Linked DNA regions of Macaca fascicularis. The protein of the gene in region 1 interacts with the protein of each later gene in a biochemical or structural test. Links are inferred from orthologs where the notes say so. Each region holds a gene or a part of one and is shown on either strand. Other genes may lie near its edges.

Region 1 (3,648 bases):
ATTGCAAAATTGTAAGTCCACTCAGTAGCTTGAAATTTTTTTCTCATTTTGATTTGATGTAGGTACTTAAAGGTTAGATGCACTTCTGACAAGGTGTGTGTAAAGTTTATGTTTGTAAACCACATCCTATCTTAAATCCAAAAAGAACTCGGGAGTAATTCATTTTTACAGCATAAAGATCCCTAAGTTTTATTTTGAAATATCTGATTTTTACACGTTAAAAAATAGCAGGGCATTGAGAGGATTCCTAGGTGACGTCCAGACTCCTTTAGCTTTGTGTGTGTGGCACCAGTTAGTCTGCTCCCGTCTCCTTTCTTGCACTGCTTCACACAGCCATGCCCTGCCAGCCTGGGCAGGTGCCTTCCTGTGAATGTGCATTTGGACTTCTGCTCATGCTGCCCTCCCTCCCCTCCCCTGCCTTCCAACCCCACCCCTTTTGTTCCTCCATCATTTGTCAAGTACTTCCATGTGTGTACCTCCCCCAGCCAAGCCATAATAGGTGGTTTCCCCTTCACTTCTGTAGCCTTTGCAGACATCCTCTGTTTACAGTAGGTGTTGACTTACTTCCCCTCTCCCCGCTAAAGCCATAAACTCCTTAAGGACAGGTAGCATTTCTTAGTCATCTTCGTTTCCTTGTCAGTGACCAGTAGACCATTAAAACATGTTAGCTAAACAAATGTGAAATGATTTTGTGATGCACACAGCTAACTGAAATACTTCCACCAAAAAAAAAAGGAACCTCATTCCCTCAGTTCACCAAATTGTTATTGTTTTAATTTTAAAATTTTTTTATTTTATTTACGTGGAGTTATCAGAACATATTTTTATTTTTAAATTTCTTAACCAAATTGTGTTAGGCCAACCAGTCTGCCTATGGTAATTTATTAATTTATGTACAAATTCATTAAATGTGGGGTGACTGCCAGGTGTGGGGTATTATGTTAGGCACAGGTGCCAGCAGCCTTCATGGAGCTGCTAGGATTTTTCCAGCAGATGATTGAACTTGTGGGGTCCTTTCTTTTTTTTTTTTTTTTTTTTTGCGGTTGGGTGGGGGAGCGGTGGAGTCTCACCCTGTCGCCCAGACTGGAGTGTAGTGGTGTGATCTCCACTCACTACAACCTCCACCTCCTGGGTTCAACTGATTGTCCTGCCTCAACCTCCTGAGTGGCTGGGATTACAGGTGTGCACCATCACGCCCGGCTAATTTTTTTTTTTTTTTTTTTGAGACAGAGTTTCGCTCTTATTGCCCAAGCTGGAGTGCAATGGCGCAATCTCGGCTCACTGCAACCTCCACCTCCCGGGTTCAAGTGACTCTCCTGCCTCAGCCTACTGAATAGCTGGGAATACAGGCGTGTGCCACCACGCCGGATGCCCAGCTAATTTTTGTATTTTTAGTCGAAACAGGGTTTCACCATGTTGGCCAGGCTGGTCTCTAACTCCCTACTTCATGATCCACCTGCCTCAGCCTCCCAAAGTGCTGGGATTACAGGCGTGAGCCACCGCACCCGGCCTTGTGGGGTCCTTTCAAGCCTTTTGACCCTTGCTTTCTCATCACCATTTTTCTAAAGTTTAGAAGTGAGAATGCTCAGATTTCTTAAACTTGTTCAGGACAATGGCGAAAGTAACAGGAAAAGCAAGAGCATTGCAGTCAGATCTGGATTTACCACGTCCATCTCTGTCCTGTGGTGCAAGTCATTTAACATCTCAGAGCCTCGATAGCTCATCTTTAAAATTAGGATGATCGCACCTCATAAAAATTTTTGTGAAGACTTTTAAAAGATGCTATATAATGTGCTTACACAATACCAAGCACATGGCAGACACCTAATAAAACATCAAGTTCTCTCTTTTCTCCTTGCCTTCAGGATAAAAAGTTTTCTCATGTTACCGGGCGCGGTGGCTCACGCCTGTAATCCCAGCACTTTGGGAGGCCGAGGTGGGCTGATAATGAGGTCAGGAGATCGAGACCATCCTGGCTAACACGGTGAAACCCCGTCTCTACTAAAAATACAAAAAATTAGCCGGGCGTGTGGTGGGTGCCTGTAATCCCAGCCGCTCGGGAGGCTGAGGCGGGAGAATGGCATGGACCCAGGAGGCGGAGCTTGCAGTGAGCTGAGATTGCCCCACTGCACTCCAGCCTGGGTGGCAGAGCGAGACTCCGTCTCAAAAAAAAAAAAAAAAAAAAAAGTGAGTGTTCTTATGTGGAATAGAAATTAAGAATCTAGGGCCGGGCGCGGTGGCTCAAGCCTGTAATCCCAGCACTTTGGGAGCCGAGACGGGCGGATCACGAGGTCAGGAGATCGAGACCATCCTGGCTAACACGGTGAAACCCCGTCTCTACTAAAAACTACAAAAAAAAAAAAAGTAGCCGGGCGTGGTGGCGGGCACCTGTAGTCCCAGCTACTCGGGAGGCTGAGGCCAGAGAATGGCGTAAACCTGGGAGGCGGAGCTTGCAGTGAGCTGAGATCCGGCCACTGCACTCCAGCCCGGGCTACAGAGCGAGACTCCATCTCAAAAAAAAAAAAGAAATTAAGAATCTAGCAGATAGTATTGAGGTGACATTACCAGCCTTGTCTCATTTCCCATGCTTAGTATATTTTATCGTAGGTTTAATCTTCACCTTTTCCAGATTTATTAAAACTAGTGACCCATAACATGGATGAAATGCGAAAATGTCATTGTGACTTCTGAAATAAAAAGCTTAGGTGTGTGTGGCAACTGAACATGTTTCTTTTTCTTTCCATGTATGATGAATTTTGATATGAACAACATGACTTCCTAACTCCAAATCAACCAGAAGAGCCTTTTGGCCAGTGCGCCCTATTGCTCCAGCTCTCAGGCTGGTTGTGCAGTGGGTAGTTTCCTAGCTAGGAACTTTTCTTTCACCCCAGTTCACATCTGGCACACAAGGCAGGCCTCAGTCCATCTGGAGCCCTCCCTACCTTGTGTCCTTTTTCCTTGTTCCACAGACTTGATTAACTGTCAAAATGTTTTGTTTTGTTAATAGGACCTGCTGCAGCTACAATATGAAGGAGTTGCAGTCATGAAATTATTTGATAGAGCTAAAGTAAATGTCAACCTCCTGATCTTCCTTCTCAACAAAAAGTTCTACGGGAAGTAATTGATCATTTGCTGCCAGCCCAGAAAGATAAAGGAAAGAAGCACCTCATAGCTCCTTTCTAGGTCCTTCTTGACTCATTGGAAGCAAAGACCTAGCCCACAACAGCGCCTCAGTCTGATACACTCCCGATGCCACATTTTTAACTCCTCTCGCTCTGATGGGACATTTTGTTACCCTTTTTTCATAGTGAAATTGTGTTTCAGGCTTAGTCTGACCTTTCTGGATTCTTCATTTTCTTCCATTACTTAGGAAAGAGTGGAAACTCCACTAAAATTTCTCTGTTGCTACAGTCTTAGAGGTTGCATTACTTTATTGTAAGCTTTAGTGTTTGTTTTAATTACCAATAGGGATGGTAGGATTCAAATTTTTGTCATTTAGAAGTGGAAGCCATTAGCACCAATGACATACATACAGGATGCACAACTAAAATGTCATGTTATTAACAGTTATTAGGTTGTCATTTAAAAGTAAAGTTCCTTTATATTTCTGTCCCATCAGGAAGATTGAAGGATATGGGGAATCATTTG
Region 2 (4,373 bases), on another chromosome or scaffold:
ATCTCGAACTCCTGACCTCACGTGGATCCGCCCAGCTTTGCCTCAAAAAGTGCTGGGATTACAGGTGTGAGCCACCACGCCCGGCCGGCAACACATTTTTTTGACTGAATGGACATGGTTATTGCTGAATAAAGGTATGGTGTATGATTTTATTCTTCCTTATAGTTTTAGATTCTGAATTTCCTAAAAGGACCTAATGTCATTGCACATAGTTATTACATGAAGATAACGAAACGGGGGGTGGAAAGCAGTGCCCTCCGATGGCCCCGAGCAGGAGTTAGTGACAGGGAGCGTGGCTCCTGCAACCACAGTCCCTCTTTTTTTTTTTTAAGACGGACTCTCACTCTGTTTCCCAGGCTGGAGTGCAGTGGTACGATCTCGGCTCACTGCAACCTCTGCCTTCTGGGTTCAAGCGGTTCTCCTGTTTCAGCCTCCCAAGTAGTTGGGATTAAAGGTGCCTGCCACCACATCCGGTTAATTTTTGTATTTTTTATTTATTTATTTTTTGAGACGGAGTCTCGGTCGGTATCCCAGGCTGGAGTGTAGTGGCGCCATATCAGCTTGCTGCAACCTCCACCTCCTGGGTCCCGGTTCAAGCAATTCTCCTGCCTCAGCCTCCCGAGAAGCTGGGATTACAGGCACACGCCACCATGCCCAGCTACTTTTTTTATTTGTTATTTTTAGTAGAGATGGGGTTTCACCATGTTGGCCAGGCTGGTCTTGAACTCCTGACCTCGTGATCCACCTGTTTCAGTTTCCCAAAGTGCTGGGATTACAGGCGTGAGCCACCATTTTGTATTTTTTTTAGTAGAGATGGGGTTTCACCACGTTGATGAGACTGGTCTCGAACTCCTGAACTTGTGATCCACCCGCCTCGGCCTCCCAACCAAAGTGCTGAGATTACAGGCGAGAGGTGAGCCACGGCGCCCAGCCACCACAGGTTCCTTTTTTTTGAGACGGAGTCTGGCTCTGACTCCAGGCTAGAGTGTAGTGGCGCCCTCTCAGCTCACTGCAACCACCGCCTCCCAGGTTCAAGCAATTCTCCTGCCTCAGCTTCCTGAGTAGCTGGGACTACAGGTGCGCGCCTCCACGCCCGGCTAATTTTTGTATTTTTAGTACAGACGGGGTTTCACCATGTTGGCCAGGATGGTCTCAATCTCTTGACCTTGTGATCCTCCCTCCTCGGCCTCCCAAAGTGCTGGGATTACAGGCGTGAGCCACCGCGCCCGACTGACAGGTTCCTCTTAAAGCCTAAACCGTGAACCCCAGGGAAAGGACCTGCAGGTCCGGCCACGCCCAGGCCTCCTTAGCGCGCCAAGATGGCGGCCGCCGCGCCCCGCGGTCGGAGCCGAGCGGTCCCGAGCGCTTCCGAGCATTCCCGAAGTCCAGAGAAACTCCGGGAGCGGCGCGGGCGGGAGCGGCCCCGCCCGGAACCTGGGAGCGGCGACGCCGGCGCGGGGGAGGGGAGGCCGGATGTGAGTGGAGCGGCCATTTCCTGTTTCTCTGCAGTTTTCCTGAGCTTTGGGTGGTGGCCGCTGCCGGGCTTGAGCTTCCAGTCCGCGGAGGGCGAGGCGGCGTGGACAGCGGCCCCGGCACCCAGCGCCCCGCCGCCCTCAAGCCGCGCGCTCGTCCGCCGCGCCCCGAGCCCGCCGCTTCCTATCTCAGCGCCCTGCCGCCGCCGCCGCGGCCCAGCGAGCGGCCCAGATGCAGGCCATCAAGTGTGTGGTGGTGGGAGACGGGTGAGTGCGCGGCCGGGGCCGGACTGGGGACGGCGGGGTCGGGCGCGGGCGGGGGTCTGGCCCGGACTGAGACCCAGGCAGGCAGGCCGCTCGCTGCGGGCTCGCGTAGGCGGTGGGCCTGGGCCTGTATCGCGGGGCGGGGGCCGCGGGCTGGCGCCCCCACTGGACCCTGACTTCCCGGGCGGCGCGTGCCAGGTTCCGGCTCTGGATGGAGGAGGGCCTTGCCGCTCGCCGGCCGGAGGGAAAAGTGAACTCCACCCTCCGGCTTTCTTCCCGGACGCCGCCCGCCGCCCTCCTCGGGAGCGCTCGTAGAGGAAGCGCTCTTGGAGATTTTGACCATTTTTCCAAAAAGGGACTCTTTCTTGTTTTTTGCATGAACCTCTCAATTCGCCTTGAGAGCTGTGTTGGGAACGCGGCGGTCAAGTCGATATTTGATGCATGCTTGATTGTGCGGGCCTCTTTGGTGCCCCCAAACTTTTCTTTAGAAAAACATATTTTTTTTCATAGACCGGTTCTCGCTGTGTTGCACAGGCCGGTCTCGAACTCCTGGGTTCAGGCGATCCTCCCATCCCAGCCTCCCAGAAATGCTGGGATTACAGGCGTGTGCCACCACGCCTGGCTAATCTTTAAAACTTTTTGTAGAAATGGGGGTTGGGGGTCTCGCTGTGTTGTCCAGGCTGGTCTCGAATTGCTGCGCTCAAGTGATCCTCCTGCCTCTCAGCCTCCAAAAGTGCTGGGGTGACACCGCGCCCGGCTTCTAAACTTATTTTCGAGCAGGATTTTTCAACTTACACTTCTGCCACTGTTAGGATTCTTAAAATTGTTGTTTTCGCGTATTCCGTGGAGAAAGTTTTTAAGATGCTGGCTGGGAGGAGCCGGCTGTAAGGGGCACTGTTTTTTCTTTTCTTTCTTTCTTTCTTTTTTTTTTTTTTTTTTTTTTAACGTGGTGTGGTCATTGATAAACTGTTCTTTGCTTAACGCGTTAGGTATGGGATGTAGCAGAACTGGCCCCCTGTGACTCCAGGCATTGCTTTTCATGACTGTCTGTGGTGGTTACAGGCCCTGGAGGAAGACAAGACTTGTCTTATGCAGTTTTTTTCTCCCATAGAAACAAGAATCTCAGTGTAACCCAAGCAAAATCGCGCGTCTCAGCGTTGCTTGTATAGGTTAGTGTTAGCAAGGAAGAATTACTACCAGTTTAATAAAACTCAGTGCAACTGGTACATGTTCCAGTAAAGTCCAAGGCAAGCTCTGGCATCACGGTTAACTGGTTGATATTCTTCAAACTTGTCATTAGGACAGATTTTGGTTCTTGCAATTCAGATGCAAGAAGGATAATTAGACAACTGATTTTTGTAAGATGCCCATCTGTCATATTTGTCTTGGAAATGTGAAATAATATTAATGCCTCATAATTCTGTTTATATAATAACTAAAAATTCTAACTTTCACTTATTTAAGAGTATGTAGGCTATCCAAGGGTTTTTTTTTTTTTTTTTTTTTTTGAGACGGAATCTCATTCTATTGCCCAGGCTGGAGTGCAGTGGCACAATTGCGGCTCACTGCAACCTCCGCCTCCCAGGTTCAAGCGATCCTCCTGCCTCAGCCTCCCTAGTAGTTGGGATTATAGGCATGCGCCACCGTGCCAGGCTAATTTTTGTATTTTTTAGTAGAAACGGGGTTTCACCATGTTGGCCAGGCTGGTCTCGAACTCCTGACCTCAGGTGATCCACCCGCCTGGGCCTCCCAGAGTGTTGGGATTACAGGTGTGAGCCACCGCGCCCAGCCCAATTTTTTTTTTCTTTCTTTCTTTTTTTTTTTTTTTTGAGACAGGGTCTCACTCTGTTGCCCAGCCTGGAGTGCAATGGCGCTCTCTCTGTTCCTGCAACCTCTGCCTCCCGGGTTCAAGCAATTCTCATGCCTCAGCCTCCCAAGTACCTGGGATTACAGGCACACATCACCACACCCAGCTAATTTTATTTATTTATTTTTTATTTTTTTGGTAGAGATAGAGTTTCGCCATGTTGGCCAGGATGGTCTCAAACTCCTGACCTCAAGTGATCCCCCCGCCTCGGCCTGTTTTTTTTTTTTATAAGTCATATTGCTGATAATTATTTGAAAAATGCTGAAACTAAAACATAAGCATAGCAGATACGTTTATTTAATACTAACCGATTAAGGACCTCTGCCGTTTGAATTGGCTGTTTTATCTAGTCAGATAACTTGTCGAATGCCTATCCTGGAATCTGGACCCTCCCTTCAAATACCCACTCCACCGCTTACATGGGGTAACCCTAAGCACATCCCCCACCTCCCAGGAGAGGTGGTTCAGTGGGAGGTCAACAAGAGTAAACAAGATGTTGGTTAACTACTTTGCAGGTGCCCCTTGCTGAGTGCTTAGTAAGTGCCTGGTACTGTTACTGCGGTTTCTACTACAGAGGCTCTGTGAGGGAGTATTAGGTTTAAAAACCTGTGGCCTTGAGTTTTCAGTCTGTGTTTTTTTTTTTAATTAGTTATGAGCATTTGATCAAGCACAGTTTTGTTTTGTTTTTTTTGAGACAGAGTCTCGCTCTGTCGCCAGTTCTGGAGTGCAGTGGCGCAATCTTGGCTCACTGCAAGCTCCGCCTCCCGGGT
Region 3 (3,648 bases), on another chromosome or scaffold:
TAGACTGTTCCAAATGAACCAGATCCAATTCTTTGTCCCACTGTAATCTGCCCATCAGGAATCTCCCAATCATCACTCGAGTCCCGTCTACCAAGTGTTTTCTTGATAAATATAGTACAAAAGTCAAGTCAAACCAAACAAAAAAAGAAAACCTTATGTTTCACTCTTTTTTAATTGGTGCTAAATTTCTTTATGTATCATATCTAATTCAGTCTTTCAAAAAAAAAAAATCAACATATAAAAGTACTTTGGTAGAGTAAAAGATCCACTTATTCAATAATTAGTAACAATACTATGGCTAAAAAGTATTAGTTTTTTATTTTATTTTTAAATTTTACTTTAAGTTCTGGGATACATGTGCAGAATGTGCAGGTTTGTTACATAGGTATACATGTGCCATGGTGGATTCATTTTGCAGAAGAAAGTTGATTTTTTAAATAGTGAAGAATGTCCTTCGGTAGATATCTGAATTCTGGACCAGCCTTTTCATGCCTTCTAATACTAGTTTTCTCTCTTTTTCCTTATTTTAGAAGCAGAACACTGTTACTCTTCCAAAACTGCCTTCTACTAAATTATATTACAGATGACAGCAGAAAGCAGTGCTGTGGAAATATGCTTTAAGCAAAAAACTATCAGCTCTGAAATTTAATTATGGGAGTTCTGTGTCACATATGGACATAATATATCTAAAGGATAATATTACATTTGGCTATGACTTCTAAGAAGACAGACAGAGAAAAAAAGATATTATATACTCTTACCATTCGATTCCTGTCTTCTGAGGATGAAGATGACTTCCTTTCTCGCTGAGGTCCTGGAGATTTCTGTAAGGCTTTCACGTTAGTGAGTGAGCCAGGTAATGAGGCAGGGGGGGTGGCAGACAAACCTGTGGTTGATCCTAAATTAGTGATAAGAAAAATGTATACATTAAGGAGGAGCAAGTATGTTAATTTATCAGGGGTAGAAGGTTGGGGGATATTTAGACTTAATTTTAAAATGTAGTGCATATTTAAATATAGACCTTTTGGAAAGGATGGGACAAAAAAAAGGGGGCCTCATTTGGTGATTACAACTATAATTTCTTTTAGTTTTCTGGCCAATTTAATGACCTTTAAGATATCTGATGATAGATACATACTTTGTTTCCTGGTACAAAATCTAGGAGAAAAACAATCTCTCTAAAACAAGATAGAAATACTAAAAATACTCCCAAGTTTCTGTTTCTTTGATGAAAAAAAAATCAAAAAGCAAAATCAATGTAAATGCCTATATAACAAATACACTTTTAATTAATTATTTAATATTACCTCAACAGCCAATCAATATAAAAAAAAAAGGAAATCCCCAAATGGAAACATTTTCTAATAATGGCCATAATGTTGAAAATATCTGACTTATTCATATTAATCACTAAACTCAAATACAATCCTAAACTACATGCTCTACTATTTAAGAGATATTGGTCAGTATCATTGGTTCCTAGAGGCTTACATTATTAAACAAAGATTATTTGTTACCTGCAAAACAAAGTTAATGTAAATAAAGCCAGCCATATTTCTCAAGACTTTCTGAAAAATCTCTGCCTTTGTAAGTGAGAGCTTTGTAAGTAAGCGCTATGGCCTCTCCGCTGAGTTACTATAAATACAAATATTCTATAGGTCAGGTGAGCCTGAGGAGTATACTCTTTGGAAGTGATCTCCGTTGGCAGGGTTGCATACCTTTCTCATGGCAAACATCCTGAGATAAGGTACAGTAGCACCTGGTTCAGAAGGGTTCAGGGCAGTGAATCTTACTGGGGCCTGAATACGGCTGAGTAGAACTCAGATGTCCAGGTAATAGTTCTATATACAGAACAACAAAATGACCTCAAGAAAATAGATTCTTTTTAAAAAATGACTGCTACTCTTAAGGAAAAAAAGAGTCACTATCTTTCAGATAACAAGGATACCAATAACCACATTTAAATGTTAAATCTGTAGAAAATATTTACTATTATTACATCATATTATATCACCATGTAGAATTTTCATGATCTCATATGCAATTTTCTAAAATAAAATGGTGTCCAGAATGTCTATTAAGTAGAGCACAATCCATTTTCTACCTCCCATTGATAATTTTCAACATTATAAAGCCTTAACTGCTTCACCAGGCTTCACAGTTATGATCTACTAAGTAGTTTTATTGTATCACTTAATTGTGTTACTCACTACTGTATGACTTCCATCCCATTCTATGGATTTTCTGAGAAACAGCAGGGCTGAGAGAGCAAATATCTAAAGCACCATTACTACATTCAGAATATGTAACAGATACTAACTAGCAAGAGTCAGTAAATATAAATCTTTAAAAATATTTATAGCAAGACATCTGTCCCAGCTTTGACTTAAGTTTTTTTTTTTTTTTTTTTTTTTCCAGATGGAGTCTCACTCTGTCGCCCAGGCTGGAGTACAATGGTACGATCTTGGCTCACTGTAACCTCCGCCTCCTGGGTTCAAGTGATTCTCCAGCCTCAGCCTCCCAAGTAGCTGGGATTACAGGCACCCGCCATCATGCCCGGCTAATTTTTTTGGTATTTTTGTAGAGACGGGTTTTCACCATATTGACCAGGCTGGTCTCGAACTCCTGACCTCAGGTGATCCATCCACTTTGGCCTTCCAAAGTGCTGGAACTACAGGCGTAAGCCACCGCGCCTAGCCCAACTTAAATTTTTACAAATCAGTTTAACCACTAAATAAAACAGCAAGATGAAATGGGAGAATGAAATTATACTGTAAACTTTCTTCTATTAGGACATAATTAAAAGGATAAATCCTCAAATTTCTGAAGTACACTGAAATATCTAAAATATGTTATAAATCTTTTTTTTTTTTTTCTTTTTTAACAGCTCCCTACCTTTGACAAAAATACACACATCCCATATTGGAGGAAAGAAAAACCCAAAAAACACAGCTAGTATTACAGAATCTGAAAAAAGGCCAAAAGCCTAATAAAATCTCATAATAGAAGTTTCCACTGACACTTCAATTTTCTTAAAAACCACAAAAATTATTAACAATCATAAACCATCAAGAATAATCACTTAAATGCATTAAAATCAAAGGAATCCAGTAAGCGCTTCCCCACCCACCTTATTTATTCCCACCCACTAAGTTTAACAAATTATCAAGACCAGGAAGTAATAAAATAACAAAAAACAAGATGGAAATCTCAGGTCAGGATTTTCTTGCTTTTAAAAATTTATGACAGACAGCATACAGAAAGCTTGTGGCAGTGAGTATGTGTGAGAAGCACATTCAGAGCATTCCAGCCAGGCCAAGCAGAAATTTAGTACTGAAAACTTTCACACTTACAAACACACGCTGTGAGGGTGAGGCACAAACAGCATCTGTAGTTTTATATTTAGTTTGCTTTGGGTGAAAACAAGAAAGAAGAGCCCAACTACCTCTGAACACTGGGCCAGGCTCAAAATCAAACACTATTTCACTGGGGACAGAATGTAGGAGGGGACTGGGAGTCCGGGATTGGTATTTCCGAAGACAGCGCATCAGCTGGTTCAAAGGGGCTGTTAGAAGAGAAAGAGAGGGGCAGGCAAACACAGGAAGACAGACACACAGAAGAAATGAAAGAAGTCATGGGGAATAAATA

Evidence for each region.
Region 2: the proteins of IQGAP1 (region 1) and RAC1 form a complex in vitro, tested with the Homo sapiens proteins (3 studies listed by BioGRID). The link is inferred for Macaca fascicularis from reciprocal best matches to the Homo sapiens genes IQGAP1 and RAC1.
Region 3: the proteins of IQGAP1 (region 1) and BRAF form a complex in vitro, tested with the Homo sapiens proteins (2 studies listed by BioGRID and IntAct). The link is inferred for Macaca fascicularis from reciprocal best matches to the Homo sapiens genes IQGAP1 and BRAF.

The regions. Positions count from the first base shown.
Region 1 is NC_088381.1:75,037,323-75,040,970, forward strand, and holds part of IQGAP1 (ras GTPase-activating-like protein IQGAP1), read left to right. Parts: intron 1-3,007; coding exon 3,008-3,121; 3' UTR 3,122-3,648. UniProt on the Homo sapiens protein: Plays a crucial role in regulating the dynamics and assembly of the actin cytoskeleton.
Region 2 is NC_088377.1:45,992,272-45,996,644, reverse strand, and holds the start of RAC1 (ras-related C3 botulinum toxin substrate 1), read left to right. Parts: upstream 1-1,497; 5' UTR 1,498-1,704; coding exon 1,705-1,739; intron 1,740-4,373. UniProt on the Homo sapiens protein: Plasma membrane-associated small GTPase which cycles between active GTP-bound and inactive GDP-bound states.
Region 3 is NC_088377.1:182,452,145-182,455,792, forward strand, and holds part of BRAF (serine/threonine-protein kinase B-raf), read right to left. Parts: intron 3,566-3,648; coding exon 3,446-3,565; intron 899-3,445; coding exon 762-898; intron 102-761; coding exon 1-101. UniProt on the Homo sapiens protein: Protein kinase involved in the transduction of mitogenic signals from the cell membrane to the nucleus. Phosphorylates MAP2K1, and thereby activates the MAP kinase signal transduction pathway. Phosphorylates PFKFB2.